4 linked regions of the Drosophila melanogaster genome follow. The gene in region 1 interacts genetically with each later gene. Each region holds a gene or a part of one and is shown in the gene's direction. Other genes may lie near its edges.

Evidence for each region.
Region 2: of gbb (region 1) and MAN1, changing one suppresses a phenotype caused by changing the other (phenotypic suppression), as found in Drosophila melanogaster (one study listed by BioGRID).
Region 3: of gbb (region 1) and CG3632, changing one suppresses a phenotype caused by changing the other (phenotypic suppression), as found in Drosophila melanogaster (one study listed by BioGRID).
Region 4: of gbb (region 1) and frac, changing one suppresses a phenotype caused by changing the other (phenotypic suppression), as found in Drosophila melanogaster (one study listed by BioGRID).

The regions. Positions count from the first base shown.
Region 1 is NT_033778.4:23,849,813-23,853,784, forward strand, and holds gbb (glass bottom boat), read left to right. Parts: upstream 1-1,749; 5' UTR 1,750-1,942; coding exon 1,943-3,310; 3' UTR 3,311-3,435; downstream 3,436-3,972. Other genes in the region: ytr (yantar), read right to left, coding at 759-1,000; eIF6 (eukaryotic translation initiation factor 6), read right to left, coding at 1-260; bgcn (benign gonial cell neoplasm), read right to left, coding at 3,747-3,882, 3,938-3,972. UniProt on the Drosophila melanogaster protein: Required for the growth of imaginal tissues and for patterning of the adult wing.
Region 2 is NT_033778.4:24,031,996-24,037,244, forward strand, and holds MAN1 (MAN1), read left to right. Parts: upstream 1-1,978; 5' UTR 1,979-2,437; intron 2,438-2,692; 5' UTR 2,693-2,702; coding exon 2,703-4,655; 3' UTR 4,656-4,712; downstream 4,713-5,249. Other genes in the region: Chi (chip), read right to left, coding at 1-1,577, 1,684-1,705; Not11 (CCR4-NOT transcription complex subunit 11), read right to left, coding at 4,788-5,145, 5,206-5,249.
Region 3 is NC_004354.4:16,294,834-16,302,704, forward strand, and holds the start of CG3632 (uncharacterized protein), read left to right. Parts: upstream 1-1,837; 5' UTR 1,838-1,942; coding exon 1,943-1,957; exon of another isoform or gene 1,958-2,074; intron 2,075-2,249; exon of another isoform or gene 2,250-2,406; intron 2,407-2,808; exon of another isoform or gene 2,809-2,827; coding exon 2,828-2,951; intron 2,952-3,015; coding exon 3,016-4,007; intron 4,008-4,186; coding exon 4,187-4,377; intron 4,378-4,442; coding exon 4,443-4,638; intron 4,639-4,706; coding exon 4,707-4,892; intron 4,893-4,961; coding exon 4,962-5,126; intron 5,127-5,197; coding exon 5,198-5,324; intron 5,325-5,392; coding exon 5,393-5,498; intron 5,499-5,564; coding exon 5,565-5,875; intron 5,876-5,937; coding exon 5,938-6,042; intron 6,043-6,105; coding exon 6,106-6,691; intron 6,692-6,767; coding exon 6,768-6,918; intron 6,919-6,979; coding exon 6,980-7,084; intron 7,085-7,376; coding exon 7,377-7,579; intron 7,580-7,871. Other genes in the region: ERp44 (endoplasmic reticulum protein 44), read right to left, coding at 1-285, 390-481, 1,214-1,298, 1,477-1,533.
Region 4 is NT_037436.4:7,560,679-7,568,621, forward strand, and holds the start of frac (faulty attraction), read left to right. Parts: upstream 1-1,931; 5' UTR 1,932-2,014; exon of another isoform or gene 2,015-2,330; 5' UTR 2,331-2,400; coding exon 2,401-2,455; intron 2,456-3,489; coding exon 3,490-4,308; intron 4,309-4,370; coding exon 4,371-4,493; intron 4,494-4,561; coding exon 4,562-7,075; intron 7,076-7,143; coding exon 7,144-7,943.

The DNA.
Region 1 (3,972 bases):
CTGTTACGCAGGTGTTGCAGCTCCTCGTCGGTGGTGGAGTTGGGCACCAGCAGGCCGTTGCGGTTGCCCACGGTGAGGCGGCCGATGATCCGGCAGCCGCCCACATTCGCATGCACCACCGGGATGGTGTCGCCCAGCTCCGCCTCGAAGGCGCTGTAGAAGGTCTCGGATCCACCGATGGCCACCAGGCAGTATGTGTTGGTTAGTTTAGTGAAGACGCCGATGTCGTCGTTGTTCTCGAATTGGACGCGTAGAGCCATTTTCTCTGTATTTACGTGGATCCTCTTTTCCTGCTGGTTACTCTCTTTTCGGATTTACTGGCCTGACTGAGCCTGCTGCCGGATGAGTTCTGGATTCTGTTTATATGTCCGGAAATCAATTTAAATGTCGTGATGAAATTCGCACAATTTCGCTTCACGTGGTAATTTTTTTTTGATGTTGGGACGCCAGAGCTGCATAGCCATCGATTGGCTGCCTATCGAAGTGTGGGTCTATCGATACTCGTGGGTAAATAAACAAGTTCTGAACGGCGATTTCGGGGGTTTGAGGGGTCAATTGTCCCCTGTGTTGGAATGTGTTCCTAAATCTACACAAACACTCCCTAAGCTTATCCTAAACTTATAAATATTGGTTGCTATTTAAACCCCATTTCACGGTTATCCAGCACGCCCCTGAACTGTGACCCACATCCCCGATTTTAGTGACTAGTTTTATACTTATCGTGGTTGGCATTTGGTACACTACACTTTCTTATTCACCTAGATCGCCGACTCCGCGCACGGTCGCGCTCCCGTTCCCGCTCCCGATCTCGGCTGCGACTGCGGTCGCGATCCCGTTCCCGGTCGCGGCGACCGGCGCCTCCAGATCCGGATCCTCCGGCTGGCGCTACTCCGATGGCCTCCCGCTCCCGGGAACGGCGCTCCCTGCGCTTCTTCCGCTCGGATCGCTCCTTCTCGCGTCTCCTGTGCGCCGGCGAGGCGGGACTTCGGCTGCGGCCCATGGCTCCGTTTCGGTCTCTGCTTGTGTGGCGGTTTGAGTGATTGATGATGGTTTGCCTGCAGTGGATTTGAGCGGATGTTAGACTCCATGTACTCCAATTGCACCGCACGCATCCCGCTTACCGTTGCACTAGGCTGTGTCTAGCATTATTTGGGCGACACCGGCGGTGGGTAAAAACGCGCTAACTTAAAACTAAAACCAAATAAACAACGCGCGTTATCTCGCCGCGACGCCGAAACGGAATGAGGAATGCAGAATGCGGATGATGATGCGAGGGATGCGATGCAAGGGCAAAACATGGCCACCTATCGGATATCGATTGATGGTCGATTTTATCTTCGATAAAAATGTATCCTATGTATATCGCATACCGAATGTTTAAATCGATCTGTTTCCTTTTGAATATGAACTATGTATATATATTAATTAATATTTTTTAATAGCATTACCTATATTATATTTCAAATTATGCCCGGACTATGATAAATTTAACAAATTCATAATTACAAATCTTTCGTCAATACCACTTCCATAAATAGTTTAAAATATCAAAATATTACGAACTTTGCCAATATAAACGTTATATTTTCTACATTTACACAGTTTCTTCTTTTTTTTTTTGAAGCTATTAAACCACATATTTGCTCACGATCGCAGCTGAAATGAACTACTATGTTGGATCTTCTAGTTCGATCTTCAAGACCGATTCATTTTCCAAGTCGCGGGACTGCCAACTCCCGCGAAATAGAAAGAAAATGCATCTTGAAGATTAAGATACACACAACAATCCGTAAGTGCGTCAGAATTTTCAGAACCCGCGGTTCGCTGGAACTCTCGAAATAAACAACTAAATGCCACTGTACATCTGAAGCTATCGCAAGTGGATAGCGCCGTAGATATAGAAAAACAGCGATCGCAACCGATCCGTCCAAAACACGAAATAATGTCGGGACTGCGAAACACCTCGGAGGCCGTTGCAGTGCTCGCCTCCCTGGGACTCGGAATGGTTCTGCTCATGTTCGTGGCGACCACGCCGCCGGCCGTTGAGGCCACCCAGTCGGGGATTTACATAGACAACGGCAAGGACCAGACGATCATGCACAGAGTGCTGAGCGAGGACGACAAGCTGGACGTCTCGTACGAGATCCTCGAGTTCCTGGGCATCGCCGAACGGCCGACGCACCTGAGCAGCCACCAGTTGTCGCTGAGGAAGTCGGCTCCCAAGTTCCTGCTGGACGTCTACCACCGCATCACGGCGGAGGAGGGTCTCAGCGATCAGGATGAGGACGACGACTACGAACGCGGCCATCGGTCCAGGAGGAGCGCCGACCTCGAGGAGGATGAGGGCGAGCAGCAGAAGAACTTCATCACCGACCTGGACAAGCGGGCCATCGACGAGAGCGACATCATCATGACCTTCCTGAACAAGCGCCACCACAATGTGGACGAACTGCGTCACGAGCACGGCCGTCGCCTGTGGTTCGACGTCTCCAACGTGCCCAACGACAACTACCTGGTGATGGCCGAGCTGCGCATCTATCAGAACGCCAACGAGGGCAAGTGGCTGACCGCCAACAGGGAGTTCACCATCACGGTATACGCCATTGGCACCGGCACGCTGGGCCAGCACACCATGGAGCCGCTGTCCTCGGTGAACACCACCGGGGACTACGTGGGCTGGTTGGAGCTCAACGTGACCGAGGGCCTGCACGAGTGGCTGGTCAAGTCGAAGGACAATCATGGCATCTACATTGGAGCACACGCTGTCAACCGACCCGACCGCGAGGTGAAGCTGGACGACATTGGACTGATCCACCGCAAGGTGGACGACGAGTTCCAGCCCTTCATGATCGGCTTCTTCCGCGGACCGGAGCTGATCAAGGCGACGGCCCACAGCAGCCACCACAGGAGCAAGCGAAGCGCCAGCCATCCACGCAAGCGCAAGAAGTCGGTGTCGCCCAACAACGTGCCGCTGCTGGAACCGATGGAGAGCACGCGCAGCTGCCAGATGCAGACCCTGTACATAGACTTCAAGGATCTGGGCTGGCATGACTGGATCATCGCACCAGAGGGCTATGGCGCCTTCTACTGCAGCGGCGAGTGCAATTTCCCGCTCAATGCGCACATGAACGCCACGAACCATGCGATCGTCCAGACCCTGGTCCACCTGCTGGAGCCGAAGAAGGTGCCCAAGCCCTGCTGCGCTCCGACCAGGCTGGGAGCACTACCCGTTCTGTACCACCTGAACGACGAGAATGTGAACCTGAAAAAGTATAGAAACATGATTGTGAAATCCTGCGGGTGCCATTGAATTCAATTTACCACTTAGGCTAAGCACTATAGCACTATATATATAAAGCATTTCTGTGTAGATGTCCATCTCTGTACTAATCTCGAATATTTTTATACAAAAATATACAGCGCTGTACCTAACTGAAGTTCGTCTCTTGAGGAGTTTCATTTGTGGCTAGTATTAAAAGATACTTCTTCTTTATTGTCTCACATCTACTCATGATTGGGATGCACAAATTTCAAATATTTCAAAACAACGATGATAGACGCAATGTGGTACTAAAAGTACGTATTTTGATTCTGGTTAGCTCTCATTTAAAATTAACAGTCATTTCACAGCAATAAAAGGCACAATCAAGTCCTATTTGGACTTCGGCACGCTTCTTTGGATCATTCTTAATTATTTTAGGACTCAATTAGTAGGGAAGCAGGCAATATGCGCGAGGAAGCGGGCTTTATCGCTTGTGAATCCAGTGGTGGCGGAAGGCAAACAATTCCATAATCAAGTTGCCGACACGCTTGTCAATTAGCGCCGACATCAGGCGGCCATCAAACACCGGTGTCTGCACATTCAACGACACACACGCATCTCTGAAAGGAGAGCACATTAGACTGGAGTATTCTCCGCAACTTGGATTGCACTTACAAGATTTCAAACACCGGAATGTTGTTTCGGAAGTA
Region 2 (5,249 bases), 180 kb from region 1:
GTATTGCGTGTTCTCTAGCCGGGTGATCAGCCGCTCGTCCTCCTCACCAAACTCGCCGCCCATCAGCGTCGGCTCGCCCACCACCATCACGTCCTGGGAGGAGAGGGAGAAACTGGGACCGGAGGGGGAACGCTTCTGGTTCGTCACAGGCGGAGTGTTCGAGTTGTTGCCACCACCCGAGTTGGAGCCCTTCCGTTTGCGCCTCTTGTTGGGTGGTCGTTGCGGATCCTTCTTGCCGGGCGGAGCCACCATGCGCTGCCACTTCTGGAACAACGTTGTCTTCAGGCAGTCGCGCGGACTCAGTGCGTACGCCTTGTGCCGCGACATCAGCTCCTGCATCGGTTCGAGGATGACGCAGAGGCGCAGATAGTTGAGGGTGGAGTTGGTGATGCCAGCGCGCGTGATGTTCTTGGTTATTTGATCTAGCAGCATCGGGTCAGGCGGCAGACTGGTGCCGATCACGGACCTTGGAATGAGCTCGCGGTGTCCCTTGATGGTCATGTGCCATGACTTGATGCGCATGTAGTCGTCGTACATGAACTCCAAGATCAGTCTTGCGTCGGCGCAGACCTTCGTGAAGAAGGGCTTGCCGTGCTGCGTGATCACCGTGCACTGGTCGCAGTCCAACGTGATGGACGTGTTGTGGAACGACTCCTTGGCATGCTTCAGCTGAAAGTACAGGTCCGAAACGCCGCCCTCGTATATGCTGCGGAAGAAGCGCGGGATGAGCGTGCGCCCGATGGTGTACCGCTTCGGTCCGTCCTCCAGGCAGAACAGAATGGTCAGCCGGGCATCATCCTCGAAGAACTCCGTGGTAAACGAGTCCCACCAGCAGTTGTCGCTCTCCTCGTTGCGCTGCTGCAGCCGCTTGTTTAGCTCAAAGACGCGGTGTTCCGTGTGGCTAAAGTAGGAATTGTGCCGCCTGAAGCCCTGGTCGATGCGTTCCATCTGCTGCGGCCCGCCCATCATCGGGTGGTTGCCTCCGTGGCCGAATGGCGACGCCGGCGGCATCGGATTGAATTGCCCGCCAACGCTGAATACCGTGGGCGATGAGAAGTGCCCGGCCTGGCCACTGTTAAACGGAGTGCCCGAGCTGGCCGGCCGGCTGAACTGGCCGAGTCCCGAGGATGGCGAGCCGAAGGGCCCGCCAACTGGACCATTGAAATTGCCCGCCGTCGCCGACTGCGGGTAGTTGCCGGGAATGTTCTGCGCACCAACAGGTCCGGGTGTCGATGAGCCCGAGGGAGCAGGTGAGGAGGTATACTGAGGTGTGTTCGAGCCAGGCTGGTTGGAGTTCTGGAACACGATGGACTGGTTGCCGGCTGGCGAGGATTGGCCGGCGGGCGGGTACGGATTCCCGGCCGAGTTGTACGGCAGGCCGCCCTGCGCGAAGCCGCTCTGGTTGCTCCCGTCCGGATTGAGGACCGCCGAATTGGACGCGGGCAGCATTGATCCGCCCTCGGAGACCGCCTTCCAGCTGCCGTCGTCAATGTTCGCTTGAGAAGTCATCGTATTGCCAGCGTTCAAACCCCTACGATTCATGCCTGTGGTCGGTTCTATCGGGCATTCGCGTCGGCCTGTGAATGGAGAGGAATCCATTAGTTTGAACCCATTATTATTTCGGCGTTTTGGGGGTTTCGGGTTCGGTATATTTTTATGGTGCCCATGCGTATGTGTATGCACTTGTCTGTATGTCGCACTGCATTTACAAAATATGTGTGTACACACACACACTTTTCACGGCCCGTTCGCGTTCGAAATGGAAAACGCTGCGAAGGGCCGGATCGGCCGGATTTCAGTGCAGGCAGACTGCTCCCGTATACGCACCTTGCAAAAGGCATACAATATTTTAATTCTTAAAGCACAAACACATATAAATGTATCTACAATTTAAGAAAACTGATTGGCCTCCACCGATAGTTTTGCCATCGCTTTCCAAATAGCAGATTTCGATAGGTGAGAACGCAAGCGTGGGTTTGTCTCGCGTTTGGAATGAACGGAAAAACGACCTATCGCCTGGAGGGTTTTCATGTTCTTGAACAAATTTTTTGTATGACGTTAAATAAAACTAACGATTCAAGACTGTTTCTCATAGTTTGTTTTTAGTTTCTTCGAAATCTCATACCACCCTTAACGTATTGTACATCAATTGCCACATATACCCTCTAAATAATTGATTAATTGTAAAGAAAAACCTATCGACCGACTCAAGCAGATTCCATTTCCATTCCGTTTCACTTTGTCCCACGCCGCACCCTTGACTTAATAATTTAGTATGTGCCGTGCCGTAAAAATTTGTAATCAAAATATGGTTGTAAGACTGTTGCTTTAACGTCGGTAGTTTATTTTATATTTATGTAATTTTGGCCTGTGACACTGCAAGCCCGTGGTGTGATGCGAAAGTGTTCGATTTTTATATACTAGAGTACGTGTTTAGGTATGTTATTTATAAACTGCATTAATTTCGCACATCTTCCAGTGTCCGTTGAATGGTAAACATATTTTTCGCCATTGAATAATCAGAAATAAGCGGAAACTTATTGGCCAACAGCCGACGAAATCCCTCTGCTTATTTCCAAGGGCTTGTGAAAATGTGCTTCGCTATGCAGTTATATATGCACATTCCTGTGTATGCATGTGTGTGCTGCAGTGTGCGTTTCCTACACTCTAAAAAATGTTCTTTCCCTTGCAGAGCGAGAAAAATGTCAACCGAGAGTTTGAACAGTTTGAGCGACAAGGAACTGCACAGGAAGCTAATCCAGAGCGGCTTCCCCAGCACTCCGGTGACGGAAACAACGCGAGCGGTCCTCATCGAGAAGTTGAGAAAGCACACGCGAGCCGACAAGCTGAAAAAGAGGAGCAACAAGTACGTGCTGTACTCCAAGGAGCAGCAAGAGTCGCCCCCATTTCCACAGTACCACCAGTACCACGCCCCACAACCGCCCCAAAACTACGCCAATGGCCTTGATAACAATAACGACCTGGACCAGACCGGAGGCTCCTCAGCTTACAATCGCAGTCTCGATGAGAGCGACTCAAGCCCGCTTCAGTTGTCCGCCTCCAAAATGTACGCCCCACCACCGGTTGTGGCTTCCAATTACGATGGAGACTGCTCGCCGCACAGCTTGGGGTTAAATGGCAAATACCTGCAGCCATGCTCCATGCCGTACGCCATAGACACGTCGAATAACTATGGCAAACCGAGCGGAAAAGCTAAGTTATCTGACGGAGGCGTGGTAAATAGACTGCTCAGCTTTCGGGATACCACGATCCAGCGGAAGTTCAACTATCCCACTGGCCAGGCGTCGAGAATCCCGCTCAGGAAAGAAAGGCTAACTCGGTTCGCTTTGTCGGACCTTAAATCCTTCATCAGGAATCCCGACATCAGGCCCTATGTAATACCACGAGTGCTAATTTCGCTGTTCTTAATATTTTTGACAATAATCACTGTCCTCTATGTGGGCAAGAGGTTCGAGCAGAGCCCCATCGATAAGGCCGCACTGAAGTATACATTATGTAACCCCAACGATATGCAAATGATCAGCGAAAAGGTGAATTGCATCGAAAAAGATTCGCTAAGGGGTGCGCTGGACATGAGCGAGGAACTCTTTAGGCATCTGAACGAGCGAGCCAGGCTCCATCACTGCAAAGACGCCAATTTGTCGCCCGCTTTGGAAATAGGAGAGTTTGTGCGGGAAATGGTCAGCAACCCAAAGACTCACAGGGGAAATCTGCACAGCAACTTGATGGCTGCCAAATATTTGATTACCGAGAATCCGCAGTGGAGCATCCAAGTGGTGGATTCAACGAAGCACCTTGGACAGACCTCGCACTTCGAGCTTTCTGAACCCAATCTGCCGCTCAAGTGCATTGTGTTGAAGAAAGTTACCAGGTTTTTCACCGTTATCGGTGCACTTCTCTTAATAGTCGCTGGATTTCTCATCGTGTACGTCGCGGTAGTAATATACCGAGTTAAGCAGAAGGAAGCCCTGTTGGCGGTCGATCAGTTCCAAAAGGACATAATAAACGAGCTAATTTACTTGAGCTCCCAGTCCGAGAGTCCCGAGGTAGTTATTAACCAGCTGCAGGAGAAGTTTCTGCCGGCCAAGAAGCGCTCAAAGCTCTTGTCTTCTTGGAACAAGGCCCTCAAGCAGCTGGAGAAAAACGATAGCCGTGTGCTGTTCGGAATGGTGAATCGTGACGGGAAGGCAATGCGCACAATTGCGTGGAACAGGAACGTTGACAAAAAGGATGTGGGGCTTGTTAAGAAGTGGCAGAGTCCCGCCTTCGATAACTCGAACAAGATTGCCAACCCGCCGACTCCCTGCCTGAAGATTAGGCACATGTTCGACTCCTCAGAGGTGGATCAGGCCAATCTGAAGCAGTCCATCGTGGAGTCGATCATCGAGAAGGTCGGCACGCGCTGCAAGATCTGCGATGTCCAGCTGGACGTGCAGTCCTGCTGCGTGTACATCCGCTGCGCCAGCGAGGAGGACGCCGGCACGATTCACAAAGAGATCAACGGCTGGTGGTTCGACAAGCGCCTGATTTCGATTAAATTCTTAAGACTGGAACGCTACCTGAGCCGTTTCCCCAAGCCCTCGGCCGAGCCACTTTACTTTCACACCAACGAGGCAGCCAACACTCACTCATAAAACACACAACTCTACATTAGATACTTAAGTTATTAAATGCGAATTTGTTTTACATGTACAGCTGGAGTTGTCGTATTTAATCGATTTATTATGAACTAGACTTTAAAACTTAAAATCTGCTAAACACTACCACTACTTAGCTAGGGAGTTGGACGACAGAGCGCTTTCCCCAGTTTCCAAGTGTTTGATAAGCCGGTACAGGGTAGCAGCCTCCTTGATTTTGCTGAAACCCACGCAGAAGGCTTCGATTTCAATGAATAGTTCCTGGAAAATAACAATAGAATAGTCACTAAGCACAGTCGAGGAAATGGTAGTAGCGCATACCCTAACGTTCACAATCTTGTTCCTAATCAAGGACTGCAGAAATACGCAAACGAGTCGCACCAGGCGAGACTGCATGTACTTGTCCTTGACTGTTTCGCAAGTCGAGATGCAATTGCTGATGTATAGGTGAATAAACTCAGTGGGCAAAGGTCCGGAGGTGGTTAGTCTGGAATGAGAGCTCGAGCATGTTAAAGAAGCCTTCAATACTCGATGTTTGGATTCCTACCGGTTGACCACCTCCATGGAGTGAAGTGTTATGTCCATGTTGAC
Region 3 (7,871 bases), on another chromosome or scaffold:
ACGATCGAAGTAGCCCAGAATGAGGCGCTTCTTCGAGTCCAGGTTCTCCAGATCCTTCAGGGATTTGAACTCCTGAATGGGATCCTCCAGCTGCTTCTTGACGAACTCGAGGAACGCTTCGGCTGAACGCTGTCCTCGGTATTCGCGCTTGCTGAGCTGCCCATTGCGTACAATTTTCAATGTTGGATACTTGTTTATGTGGAAACGGGACGCGATGGCCGTTTCCTTGTCGCAATCGACCTTGCCTAGCACCACTTTTCCAGCCTCTGGAAACTCCTCTTTAATCTGTAAGAGAAATTCGATTGAATGCCACGTATTTATTCGATATAAAATGTATATGAATGTATCGCATTGTTTGTAAGCTTTTACTGGCGATCCATTTGACTCACCTTATCTGCAGCTTCCGCGAATATAGGTGCTAAAATATTACTAAACCGACACCACTCCGCATAAAAATTAAGGAAAACCAATTCATTAGACGCTGCAAGAAAACAAAACGTGTTTTTAATGTAGGCACCAAATTGTGTGTAAAATTGTTGATGCGTAGAATACAACTCCGTTCAGATACTAAATATAATAACTTTTAAAAACATATATTTGGTAATATATTTATATCAATATTGAATTACGGGTTTATGTATTAATAATTTAAATGCATATGTATTTTTATGGAATATATTTAAATTTGTCGCTGAATATACATATTAAAGTCAAGAAATTTCTAGCATCCTACTATTCCATAACTTCCGAAAGTTAAAATTTAAGGGGTGCAAGCCTAAGGCCAGGCTTTACTGTAAAAGTTAACGTTTGGATAATAAAAAAAAATAACTTTAAAAAAACAATATAGTATTACCGCAGGATTGTGTACAGGACACACCGTATAAAAAGGACCTATTCATGCAAAGACCAAACTTCGGACATTCTGAGCAAAGAACTGCCGACCAATGGCTAGTGCCCATTTTGGCGGACTATCGGACCGATGCAGCATGAAATATAAACCGCCCTAATTAAGTTTTATCCAAATTCCACACCTTGTCCTTTACGAAAGCGCATAAAACTTATTTTACCACGTTGGCAGTGCCGAATTGAGCGAGCCAGTGATTTTGTTTAGTGACACGTCAATGGGACAAGTCGGCTAATTGATTCCCGCTCACGCTGGCAGCGGGAATGGCATGGGGATGACTGTGATGGTTATGGTATGGGCATATCTCACCTAGGGTCATATCGATATTATCACTGGTCATGGGCACGGCTCCGGCGGCATCGGCCGGCTGTGTGTACTGGAGTAGCTGTAGAATCTGTAAATTCCATAGGATGTCAGTTCTGGTTAGTTAGTTATTTGGTTAGGGGGAGCCAAAAAAAAGCCGGGGCTGTCTGGCCGGCCCCTCCCCACTGTTTCCCCGCCCGCTGATCGAGCGGGTGAGCCACTCCAGTGACCAGCAACATGACCAGACAGAACGGAACACGTCGACTCACCGCAACTAGGGCCACACACGGCCCAAGCTTTCCGATTCCGATTCTGGCTCCAAACATTCTTGTTCGGCTTCCGAATGGCGAATGCGGCTGGCGAGGAGTGGGCGTAGAATTGCGTGCACCGGCGGAGAGTCCAAGCGATCGGTTCTCTTTTTTTCTGATTTCAGTTACACATCAGCTGGAATGGAATGCAAACGTACGCACAATTATTAAGTTTTACAAATTTTTGGTTGATTTTATCGGCTGGCCAGTGTTGGTTAGTCTCGAATGCACATCTCATCGGCAATCGAGTAACGATAGCTTAGTCACATGACTTGGCCATCGCTAACAGCAGCGATAACAGCGATAGCAGCAAACAACGATAGCAATTTCAATGGAAATGAAACAAAAAGTGTCTAAATGAATACATATGCATACATATGTATGTGCAACAACATTTGCAAATCTTTGTTTATAATAGCTGACGCTTATGGATTTTATGGTGGTAAATAGAGCGAGAAAATCTAGAAGCCAAGCGCGTTTTCAATTCGGCAATACGTTTTGAGCTAAATACCCCGAAAAGTCTGCTGAGCGAACGGTTTGTGGAATCCAAAAACCAAATGTGTGTGCATACATATGTACGATTGTAATGTGTTATTGTTGCTCCCCGAAATATCGAAACACAAACATACCTACATAGACAAATATACATATGAGTTTATGCAAACATACACATGCGTAAATGTTTAATTACTTTGTTTATGACAACATACACGGCCATTAGAATACGTTGAGTACGATAATCGGCCATTTTTCGCCTATTGGCTATGAAATCGTGATAATCTAGTCTATTGGTATATATGTGCGTGCGTATGTAATGCAGCGACACACAAATATGTGCATACTATATATTGCGCACCTTGTGGAACTGCAACTGTGTGTGCTCACATAAATGTATGTTCATTGTACATTGTACATCCATACGTGCATATATATGCAGTGCATTATCTATATTGCCACCACGACACTCAAAAACTCAAATATTAACTTCGATTTGTTCTAAAAGTGTTGATTGTGCCCAATTTATCATCCCAGTGACATTTATTTGGCTTTGTTTGTGCACTGCTTAATGCACATGCACATATGTGCATAGTATTATTTATTTATTTATGGGAGCCACTATACTATACGTATCGAATCGTCCCAATAACATCGCACACACACTGTTGTGCGTAATTATGTATTCGGATGGTGGATATAAGAGATATATGCACTTATAAGCGATAACCGGATTTCCAATGACACCCAAATCGCCTTGCCTAAATATAAGCAAATAAGTAATTTCGAATACGTTACATGTTAAGTATTCTTTTAGCCGATTCACACAATGTCCGATGGATCACCGCCTCCATCGATTTGCTTTATCCGTGCCGCCGAATCGTATCCAAAGTCACAAATGGAGAAGGAAGACTCCCAGCTGTTCGTCCCGTTTCAAGAGTGTAGGTGTTCCCCCATATGCTGTAACCGATAACACATGCTAATCTATAGTATATATACCACTAGTGGCCGGCGAATCGATTAAGTACCTGGGGCGCACGGATGATGGTATCCTCGCCCTGTCCAATTATCGGATATTCCTTTCCAAGCAGTCAACCGGCTACGAGACCTACGTTCCATTGGGATTAATCGAATCCGTACAGGTGCGAGATCTGTTCCAGCTGATTGTCAATTGTAAGGATGCCAGCACTGTGCGCTGCTCCTTTCCGTCGGCGGAACAGTGCTCCGACTGGCAGCGCCGGATCCATCTGATGATCGGGGTTCCCGAGTCACTGGAGACACTCTTCGCCTTTCCCTTCTACTCCTGGACCTGCGATGTGCTCGGAAGTGGCAATGGAAGCGGTATCGTTAGCGCCCAGGCCAACGGAAACGGCCTGATTGCCAAGGATCGTTGCCTAACGCTACACAATGGCTTGGCAAAGCCAACAGCCAACGTCACAGCGTCGAATCCTCTGCCCGATCCTGCCAGCGAGACCATCTCAGCCGCCATGAGCAATCGCCTGCAACGATCAGTGCGCTATGAAAGCGACTTTAAGAACGAGGTTGCCCGCTTGGGATTCGATCTGAAGGGCTCGTGGCGCATCTCCACGGCCAATGCCGATTTTAAGCTCTGTCCCTCGTATCCACCCAAATTGCTTGTGCCCTGCTGTATCACCGATGAGATGCTCCACAACGTGGCCAACTTCCGGGGATCACGAAGGCTGCCGGCTGTCGTCTGGCGGCACCAAAAGTCGGGTGCCATCTTGGCCCGATGCAGCCAGCCGGAGGTCGGTTGGCTCGGCTGGCGCAACACAAGGGACGAGCAGCTACTCAAGGCACTCGCCGATGCCTGTGCCTTTGACAGGGGCGAGCACGCCAGGCATTCCACCTGCGCCAATGCAAAGGCGCAACCAACAAAGGGCTCCAAGGAGACCAACGGCCAGTCGGGCTTATCCGGCAAGAGTTCACCATCTCTGGACGATTCCTCGCATGAGGAACTCACGCTGGATGAAATCAAGGTAAGTTTATTACCAAAATAGCCGGGTATTCTTGAAATGAAGGTTTCAGTTACCATATAAGAAAACATTCATGAATAATTATCATAAATTACTTAACACGGAGCAGTAAAATGATGTCAAAACCGCCAAGTGCTAATGAAATAATTTGATCATTGCTCTTAAATTGTATTTGCTTTCAGAAAATCCTCATTGTGGATGCTCGCAGCTACACCTCCGCAGTTACAAATCGTGCCAGAGGTGGCGGCTGTGAGTGCATCGAGTACTATCCCTGTGCAGAGATTGAGTTTATGAACTTGGGCAACATCCACGCCATTCGAAAGAGTTTCCACGCTGTCCGACAGCTATGCGCGTCATCCCCCGATGATCCAAAGTAAGTTTACTAGCTGATTATTAAAGATATATATATATTTATGTAATGGAATCATATTCTTGCAGCTGGTACGGACAACTGGAAAAGACCATGTGGATGCAGCACCTGTCGGGTCTGCTGGGAGCCACCATGACCGTTGTGCACACCATCGAGAAGAATGGACGACCCGTCCTTGTACATTGCTCAGACGGTTGGGATCGCACTCCACAGATCGTGGCCACGGCGCAATTATGTTTGGATCCCTACTACAGAACGGTTGAGGTACGTTGATATACATCAACATTTGTGTTCTATGGACTAATACTCTACCTACTTGCTTGTATTTGCAGGGGTTCCGCGTTCTTGTCGAGCGTGAATGGCTGAACTTTGGACACAAATTCGCCGATCGCTCTGGAAATGGTCCCAATTCCGATGAAGTTAACGAGCGATGTCCAGTTTTTCTGCAGTGGCTTGATCTTGTGCATCAAATACACAGGCAGTATCCATGCAGTTTTGAGTTTAGTATAAGCTATTTGGTAAGTGGTGGCATGGAATTTCGCACGGAGTTGTGCACATTAACTCCTTGTTATATGCATTCTTTTTAGATCAAACTGGCGCAACATTCGTTGTCCTGTCTCTTCGGCACGTTCCTATGTAATTCGCTCAGAGAACGCATCGAGAATTCAGTTTTCGACCGAACGTTTTCCGTGTGGCCATTTTTAGCGGAAACTATGTATAGAAATCCTCTCTATAAGCATGAGACTGAAAAGGTGGTTAATAACTTGATATATGCTGTCAGCCTAAAGGAGAATGCTAATGATTTTTGTGTTTTTTTTTTTAGGTTCTTTGGCCAGCGCACAGTGTGCGGTTTTTATATTTTTGGTCTGATGTATACCTTGGTAGTTTAGGCAACAAAAATGGAACTGATCTACCATTACTAAGTAATGAAAGACAGAGCGGACACAATGGTGAGTTGAGTAGAGTACTCCTAATTGAAATTGACTCACTTTTTACTCCTTACTGCCACAACCAATAGGCCTCATGGCGAAGACACGATCTTCTGAAGACTTAACAACGAATGAGTTGGGACAGAGCACCATTTCCAGGAGGTCCAGTGATCCCAACCTGACCGTTGAATCCATGTAGGTCAACTGAAGATTATTTGATCCGGCAGCAAAATGAATTTCGTTCTTTTCCCTACGATTCAGTGTTACAGATTGTTTCAATGCCAATAGCAACTCGATGTTTGACATACGATCCGAGGCCAACAACAGTGTTAGCGAAAATGTCCAAGAAAGTGTTAAAGACTCCAAAGAAGTAGAGCTGGACGTGACGGATGCAACTGAAGTAGGTCCATGTGGCCGTTCAAATAATCCCATTCCAGATTTCCATAACGACCAAAGTACAGCTTCTAAACGTGATATATTGGAAGTGGAATCACAAACGCAAAGGCGAAGTTCCTTGGAGTCCTCACAGCTGATCCCTGGGTCTGTCTTCATTTTTGGCTCATCCGAAAACGGTAAAAGATGTTAGGATAAAGCAAAAGAACTTAACTAAACTTAACTACCTTAATGGTTTTAGATAAAAATGCAGTTCCTTCGGAATCTGAAGAATCCTTGGCGACCTCACAGAAACTGAACTCTGAATCTGGGCGACCTTTTTTCATATTTGGTTCATCCGAAAACGGTAAGAGATGTTAGAATGAAGAATAGAATGAATACGTTACATTAACTATCTTAATGATTTCAGATCAAAGTCCAGTTCCTTTAAAATCTGAAGACACAAGTGATATTTCTCGCGCCCTGTGGCATGGCGCAATTGAAACCAGCACTGATACCCTTATTCCTGCGGAGCCCGTACAAAAACCAAACAGCGACAATAGCAGTAGAGATCACATAACATCCCCCACAATGGAACTGGTCAGTGGTGATAGAAAGCTGGAGTCGACTAGCACTGTCCAAGCCAGTAAAATCAGTCAGAGCTACAATAATTTGCCCAAGGTACACATAAGACCGAATGCCGTTATATGCCCGCAGCGGGTAGACGCTTTTCCCCATCACCTGGACCTACAAGTGCCAAGGGAGACGACGGGAAATCCGGACCGTTGCAAGCCGGAAAAGTTAGCCAAAGATGCAAATGCGAATGCCAATGCCAACGGATCCCTGCTGGCATCCGATGGCTACAACGGCGAGGAAAGTCTCTTTATATCACCCGACCTTCAGCGGTTCGTGGGCCAGTCGCCATTCGATGCTCCCTCGACGGGCGGACGAATACGGCGAAATACCTTCGGCTCGAGCTACAGTCGCGATATGAAGTTCACGGCTGAAAATGGCAGGTGAGTTGTGTGTACTTTCTCACTGGTGGCATCTCCCATTGGACTGAATCAAAAAAAAAAAAAACTCTACTTTCAGCGCACACCAATTTCCGTCGTCGGGGATCATTTCGTTGCCCCCAACACCATTTCAGGAGAGGGCTCAGTTCACTATATCCTGTCCAGATGGCCTGGCTCACGGACTCAGCGAACAAAACATAAGACTCCACCAAATCGTACAAGAACACAAGGTGAGCTCCGGTGCAAAAGCAGTTTTCATTATAGTCATTTTAATCACATACACTATTTCAGCTACGTGAGGAAATGCTACTGCGAGAAATACACGGTATGCGACTGGCTCTGTTGGAAAAAGGTTGCCCCAGCTGCAACAGCATCGTTTCGACAAATATGGAACATGTAAATAATGATCGTTTAAGATACAAAATGCGTGCATATATTCTTGAAAAGCGTGGTTAATGTTAGTTATAGACCCTCGGTGCAAAGTGACTGCCCAATTTGTTTAAAACATGGGCCTTGGTCTTTGGATTCTCACAGTGCATATTCTGTAAAATATGAATTTGTTTCATCCTTAAATCACCAGAGCGCGAAGTGGTGGTGGTGTTTCAATCAGGGGCAATACTCTGCCATCTAATCATAAGTTACAATGTGCATTAACTGTCAGTCGTCTAATTATTTAACTCTTCTCTAGGAAAATGGATCGGATATCGTTGAAAATGCTTCAACATGTTCCTGGGAGGCCGTCGAAGAACGTAGTGGTCCCGCCTCGTATGCCCCTTCCTCGATTCAAGAGAAAAAAGCCTCCAGTGTCCTCTGGGTGCCAGACCATGCAGTTTCGCGTTGCTCTAGTTGTCAAACTGAGTTCTGGCTTGGACGAAGAAAACATCATTGTCGGTGCGCATCCAACACTTGAAACCTTAATGATTTACTCTTAAAAGATTTTTAATATGTATGATTTTCGACTTGAGTTGAATATTACCATTTTTAGCGATACAAAATTCCTAGACCTTAAATGTCAGTAACTAAGACTCGAGTACCTTCTTTATGACTGTGCAATATTACGATTAAATTTGACTATTCAATTTCTTTTCCTAAAGCTCATATTCAACTTGAGTTGAAAGCGTGTTATAATTTTCTTACTTTACTGGGATACATGACTATACTAACAGTGTAAACTATGCTAATC
Region 4 (7,943 bases), on another chromosome or scaffold:
AATCTGTGTGTGTGTGTGTGTGTGTGTGTGTGTGTGTGTGTGTGTGTGTGTGTGTGTGTGTGTGTGTGTGTGAGGGGGTAGCGTGTCGGGATACGCCCAGTTCGCCCGATAGGTGGCGTGCATTCGCTTGCTAACATTCCTGACGTGGGCTTGTGTGTTTGTCTGTTGGTCAATGAAGGCTCCACACGGTTATTATTTTTAGAAACGTTGCACGATGTCCAATTGTTGCTCTAATTTCCATATGAGTTTTTGTCCGTGCCCATGAATGAAGCGAAATATCCGCTTGGGTTGACAGTTCCAATCAGATAAGAACTATGCAATCGATTCGGCATATTCTGTCCTATGCAAATCGCTCGATTGCGCTAGATTTCACTGTGGCCCACACCACCGCACAGAGATGATCGTCGAGGGGCCCTTCGAAAAGATTGATTTTTGATTTATTTTGGCCAAACACTTTTTTGGACAATTTTTTTTTTTTTTTTTGCAGCAATCGATTGGCTCTTGTGGCGCTGAATGCCTATTTCTGCCGTTCGGCGATTTATGTCAGTCAAGCAGTGACAGCGCTTTTCATGAGCCAATAAAGTTGTCCATGTCGCTTTGTCATATTCATATATCATGGCCGTACACCCGGCGACTTATGTCACATTCACATGGCCCAAGAAACTGGAGTATCGAGCAGAGCCTGCGCATAAACGAGGCCTAAGTGCGCGATCGAGAGACGTCGTCCGTGATGGTGACGGTGACAAAACACAATTTGGCCAGGCCAAACAAACAGTCAGACAGACGGAGGGACAGATAGACAGACCTATAACATACTTGTGTACAAACAAACCAGCTAAAAAAGTCGCATATAAATCAGCACACGCAGCTGGTTCATTAGACTCTCCACTTCGGGCTCTTGGCACTGCCATTTGGCTTGACATTAATTACATAAGCTAAGCGGCGCTTAATAATGCGCTCAACAATAGAGCAAAAGTGCTCGAGACCCAGTCGACCAATCTTGTGATGTAATGGCCTCCCCCATGCGAAAGTTTCACCTCTTAACACTCCGCCAATATCTTGAGCTTAGATGGGCAATTTGTTTATTGATGGTCCTCTTTAAAAATCTATGAAATTATGTGTACTTAATACTTAAATAAATACTAATACTTAATACTTAAATAATTTCATACCTTGTATAAGCGCGTTATTTTTATAAGTTAAACAATTTGATTTACTAAAGAATATCAAAAAATATAATCATGAGTTATTTTTAATGGTACCCTAATCTCTAATACGCATCTTAACATAGCTTCCTTTCCATAAAAATGTTGAAAAGAATATTAAATGTAAATAAACGAGTAAAATTTGATTCAGAAAAGTCAAAATGAAAAAGATGGAATAGACGGTTGTTGAGTGTGGGAGCCGAAAATGCTTTATGAGTATTTGCATTTGAAACAGGTAGTTGTGGGTGTAAATCCATTATGTCCGACATATAAATACTTCGAGTATCAAACTTTATTTATATTTAAGGCGAACTACGTCCTTTTGTATTCAATTACAATTACGATTAAAAACCATTTGTGATAATCTACAGAGTAGCTGAGCGAGCAGACTATTTATTCTATATAGTACCAGCTAATATAAATTATGTTAGAGACTACCGCATTTGACAGCTGCTGAAGGATCAATGCGATCAAGTTCAATGGATGACGGAACCTCATTAATTATCACAGCCCAATGCTAATGATAATACCATGGGTAAAAATAGCTTTCCTCTACGCGTCCCCCTCTGGTGACATTTGTGCGCTCTCGCACTAATTTGCTTTATGATATCAATGAAATATCAGCATATATACACCCATAAACTTATATATATATATATATCTTTGGAGACATCGAAAAACTGTTTTCACGTTCCCTTCGAGAAAAGTCAGAATTTCTTTGGCTCCTCAGTCTTGTCTGGGCTCTCGACGGAATCGGTGCGTTTTCCAAAATAAAAATACTATTCCTGGTTTTTCCTTAAACTACAGAAGTATATATACAGACTGTTTTTATGTGTTTTAAATCAATTAAAGTAGTGAAATTCTCAGTGAACTCTAATTGCAAAAAGTGCCTTCGTTTGATGTAAATCCGACACATTTACTTCACGAATGACCTGTGAATATATGTAAAAAGTGTTGAACATGTGCTATTTATAAACCCGCCTTAATCTTAATGGCTTTGCTCCTCTATATGCCGCTACATATATAGATCTTCTCCCATAAATATGTTGGAGAACAAATAAAAAAAAGAAACGAATGTCGTGAAATCTTATTAATGTATTCTTTTTTATAAAATTTGAACCCAAGAACCCGATACAAGTGAGAGTGGAAAGGTGTGTGGCAGCTGTTCTATAAGGATCGGAAATAGGGCTGCAGAATGTGGGCGGCAAAATATGTTTTATGCGCGCTAGCATGCGTTGCATTTGCTTCAGGTGAGTGTGGGTGGAAATCGAAAATATTTCACGGATTTTGTGGAAATGGGAAATTTATTGGATAGCTTACAAGGAATTTTGGGGATTGTAAAAGATTATTATAGTTTGGATTGTGCTTCTTTAGATTATGGCAATCGGTTGGGTATTACGAAATATATCATTTAAATAGATTTAAATAGAGAATGTAAAAATGTATTCCAATTCAGACCTATTGAGTATTGTAATATTTAATTGGAAATTATAATTATTTGCCTTAAGGCCTTAAATTAAATCATTTTTTTTTTTTGATTATTTTGCTTTTTTGAAATGTATGTATATATATTGACCATTAAAATGTCCACAAAATGGTCATAAAAACCGTTTGGTTTATAGCTAATGGAGCATATATTCATAGTTTTATGACACGTTCTCCGGAAAATGTGTAACACAAAATAGTCATGGCTAACACGGGGCACTTATATATTTTAGCGAAATATTACTCACCAAATTACCGGCCGGCTTTATGAAAACTGAACATATAAAAACTGATCGTAAATCAAAACAAAGCAAGTCCCAAAATGACAAATTAAATTAAAAAACCGTGAAGACTATATGGCAAAGAAATATCTTTTGGCAACGATTCAAAAGATTGAATCACCTAGTTTTTATGGGATTCCCCTTAAAGGCAAAGATTCTAGGATAATACAATCGGGCTTTTTTTTTTAAACATATTTGGGTGATTGTGAACAGCTGTTTGTGGTATGGAGCGAACAATAAAATGTTTTATTGCCTTTAAGTTCTGGTGAGAAATCTTTTAGTGCACTAAATAATTTTGGATGCATAACACGGAAAACCGTTTATGTTTATGTTATGGGCATGTTCATTTTTTTTGATCTGCATACAACTTTATTGTTATAAAATCGCACAATCTTTTAGAACTAATGTCTCCAATCCCTGGAATTTCTATTAAATAGGCCTATAAATTTCAACAGGTTTCTTTTATGCTAATTTTCTGGTTATATCTTAAAAATTAATGTATTTCTATTTCCATTTAGCTTCTCCAAGCTCCGAGCGAAAAAGGAAAAATGTCATGAATATTCCAGAGGATCCTAAAGTTTCTGACTCCTTGGCTGCTTCTTTGGACATGAGCTGCTCGTCGGCCAAAATCCTTCCGCCGGAGATTAATCATGGTAGGGTGTCCGTTTTCGATCGCCGCCGGAGGGGAAAGAAGGTCTTCCTAGTGGCCTTTTTCGTATGCGATGATAACTACGACTTTGAAAACGGAATCTCAGAAATGTTTTGCTCGAACCAGAAATGGGTGGATGAAATACCCACCTGCATTCCCCAATTGAATTTTGAAGAACACGACGAGAAAGTAGGTTACGATTTGGAAGATTATTCCGACGAAACTGTGCCCAACGATTACGTCGAGAACAGTGATATTGATGAGGATGATGATGAAGAGGTTAGTGAAAGGGAACCACCACCGCCACCACCACCACCGGTAGTGGATGGAGCCGATTCCAAGCCTGAACCACAAATAGTTATCGAAATTAATGATGATCATGCAAATGAAGTCGTTGAATCAGAACCTGCTTTAGCGGAGACTGAAACTGAAAATGAGGTCCTTGAAAACGAAACTCCCCTGAAAGCGGAAGTCCAAACTGATGTACTCAACTCCAGCAATGCATCTGTTAAGGTCACCAATGATCCTTATGAGCCAACATTCTTGGATAACAATTGTGGCGAAGACAATGGAGGCTGTGCGCACATTTGCAAGCGATTGCTTTATCCAGATGAAAACCAGCCCATCAATAAGTGCGATTGTCGAGAGGGTTATACCCTGGATCCTAACGATTATGCTAGCTGCCTCGGTGGGTGTATTATATATAATTAAATTGAAAGAATTTGCTAGACAATATTATTCTTTTTGAAGATATCGACGAATGCCTGGAATCGAATGGTGGTTGTTCGGAAATTTGCGAAAACCTTCCAGGAGAATATAAATGTAGCTGCCAAGAGGGTTATTACTTAGACGAGTCAGGAAAGAGTTGTGTTGGTATGTTTTAATAAATGATATTTAAAAAGAAAAAAAATTCACATTAAATGGTATATACTTGTTTTCAGACATTAATGAATGTGCGAATCCCGAGCTGTCATCGAATTGCCAGGGTGCTTGCGAGAATCTGCCAGGTTCATATCGCTGTGTGGAGCCGCTGGAGGAGAATCCCGAGATCACGGAAGTCGTGGAGAATCCCATTGAGAAGACCAACGAAGTCCCAGTGAACGTTTCCGAATCACAACCCGCCGGAAAAACATGTAATTCTGGCTTTCAACTTTCCGCCGACGGCACTGATTGCCAGGACATTAATGAGTGCGAGGTAGACGGTCCTGAGGATCTTGATAATAACGCAGTCTGTCAGCAAAAGTGCGAGAACACTATTGGATCATTCCGTTGCACCTGCGTTGAAGGATACCACCTGCTCGAAGATCAACGAAGCTGTGCATTGGATAGCTGTACGGATCTGGAGAATCCCCAGTTGAATCGCACTCGATGTGCCCACGAATGCCAGGATTTGCCAGAGGGAAGCTACCGATGCGTGTGTCCCAAGGGTTATGAACTATCAGAGGATCAGCATTCCTGTTTGGTGCAAGAATCTCCATGCTCCACAGAAAAGGGAGTTGAAAAGTGCTCCCCGGGAACCTGTCTAGCCAGTGAGGATAATACCAGCTTCAGTTGCATTTGCCCAACGGGCTACCGCAGTGAGGCATTCAGTTGCCAGGACATTGATGAGTGCGCAGAGGATACACACCTTTGCAGTCACACTTGCCAGAATACACCCGGTGGTTATCAGTGCCAGTGTCCCGAAGGACTCAACCTGGTCGAGGAGTACACCTGTTTGGCCGAGAATCTCTGCGAGGTGAACAACAACGGATGCGAACAGATCTGCCTGACTGCCCGAGGAGGAGTTTGCGCCTGTCGCGAGGGATTTCGATTAAGTGCCGATGGCAAGAGTTGCGAGGACGTGGATGAGTGTCTGGTAAATAACGGTGGCTGCCAGCAGGTGTGCCGAAATCTTCCAGGTTCGTATGGGTGTATATGTGCCGCCGGCTATGAGCTCCTCAAGCTTGATGGCATACGCGGCTATTGCTTCGACATCGACGAGTGCTCGCAGAGAACTCATGGGTGCAGTGATCAAATGCTTTGCGAGAACCTCAATGGTTCGTACACCTGCCTCTGTCCACCGGGATATGCCCTTGGCTTGGATAACCACATAGTCACATCACTAAACAGCTCATTCATTACTGATTCAACCTCATCCGAAACCCCATCAGCGCATACATGCTTGGACATTGATGAGTGCTCTCTGGCCAATGGGAATTGCTCCCACTTTTGCCAGAACGAGCCTGGTGGCTTTCAGTGCGCCTGTCCCTTGGGCTATGCCCTATCCGAGGATATGCGCACCTGTCAGGACATTGATGAGTGCCTCGATAGCAATGGCCAATGCTCGCAGCTCTGCTTGAATCAACCTGGGGGATTTGCCTGCGCTTGTGAAACGGGTTTCGAGCTAACTCCAGATGGATTCGGTTGCGCCGACATTGATGAGTGCTCGCAGGACTATGGAAACTGTAGCGACATCTGCATCAATCTTTTAGGTACCCATGCCTGTGCCTGCGAAAGGGGCTATGAGCTGGCCAAGGACAAGCTAAGTTGCCTGGATGTGGATGAGTGTGCCGGCCTTCTTTCCGGTGGTTGCAGCCACGAGTGCATCAATAAGGCAGGTACCTTTGAGTGTGGATGTCCCTTGGGTTACATACTCAACGACGATGGTCGTAGCTGTAGTCCCGCTCTGGTGGGTTGTCCACCGGGAACTCAGCGATCCGCGGATGGATGTGCTCCAATTGAATGCAATCCGGGTTATACCCTGGGATCGGACGACAAGTGTGTGGACATCGATGAGTGCCAGAAGCAGAACGGTGGCTGCTCGCATCGCTGCTCCAATACCGAGGGTTCATTCAAGTGCAGCTGTCCACCGGGCTATGAACTAGATAGTGATCAAAAGACTTGCCAGGACATCGATGAGTGTGACCAAGACAAGACTAGTTGTATCACTGGAACCTGTATAAACGAGATTGGAGGCTTCCGCTGCGAGTTTCCCAAGTTCCCCGTTCTGCCGGAGATTCCCACAGCTTCGTCACTGCCTGAATCGCCCAAAATTGAATTGAAGACGCCAAAGTATCCTGATTTCACCGAGCTGTCCAATGAAATACCCGAGAATCCCAAGAAACCAGCTGAGTTCGATTACCCAGAGCCCAAGTTTCCATCTTTGCCTAAGTGGGAAGGTCTTCCAAAGCTTCCGCCCCTTGCTGACATACCTACATCGAAAGCACCCGTTCCCCTGCGTCCTGAAGTGCCTAAAAGTCTGTGGGTTAATCAGTTGCAACCCAGGGATCTGTGCCCTCGATTTCAGGCACCACGAAATGGCAAGTCCCACTGCAATAGGTATCGCCATAAGCAGAAGCTCTTCTACTACAGTCGCTGCCGAATTTCATGCAATTCGGGCTATATTCTTCAGGGTCCTGAGATCAAAAGCTGTGACGCCAATGGAATTTGGGAGGGGCCCGAAACCAAGTGTGTTGGTGAGTCATTAAGTTAAGTAATAGATTATACAGTTGGCATTCCGTACCTCTTCCGTACCTTTTCGCAGCCATCAACCAACCTCGTGCACAGAGTCCTGGAATCTGCCCCGCTCTAAAGCCCGCCCAAAATGGAGTTATACTCCCAGCTAGCTGCACTCAGGGTCCATCTCGATTTGGTGACGTTTGCCGTCTTCAGTGCAATGCTGGCTTCGTGTCCACCGGATCCTTGTTGACCGCCTGCATGATGCTGCAGGGCTGGTCGTTCGGTGCAGATCTCAACTGTCAGCCATTCGGAAACGGTTTGCTTGGAAATCAATTATCCCCGATGTGGAATTCTCCGAAAACAGTGACTCCTCATCAAATCCAGAATGTGGAACAGATTAGGCCCTATATCAATTGCCCGGAAAATGTTGTAATCCTACTGCATGCCGGTGAGCAGAAGGCTCATGTGACTCTTCAAAGACCCCAAACTAATGTTAAGAATGGCCGATTGGTCGCCCATCCCGCTTGGGCTGGTCAACTTCAGGGTCATCTGCCAGCTGGAGTCCATAAGGTTGACTTTAGAGTTAACGATCCGGAGACCAAGCTCACAATTAAATGTCACACAATAATTACTGTTAAGGCTGCAACACCTAGAGAATCAAATCCATTTACTTTGTTTCGAATATCTGATTATTCAAGATCATCACTTCCCAGACCGGCTCCATTTGCGACTTTGTCCACTGGTAGTTCATTCTCATTTCCTGCATTCAAAGCCCTGGATGCAACTCCAAAACCAGTTTCCTTTACCAAATTCCAAGTTTTCCCAGATTCTGAGTCATCAGAGCACTCGAAACTTGGGTCATCTTCCTTCTTCAGGCTGGAGCCC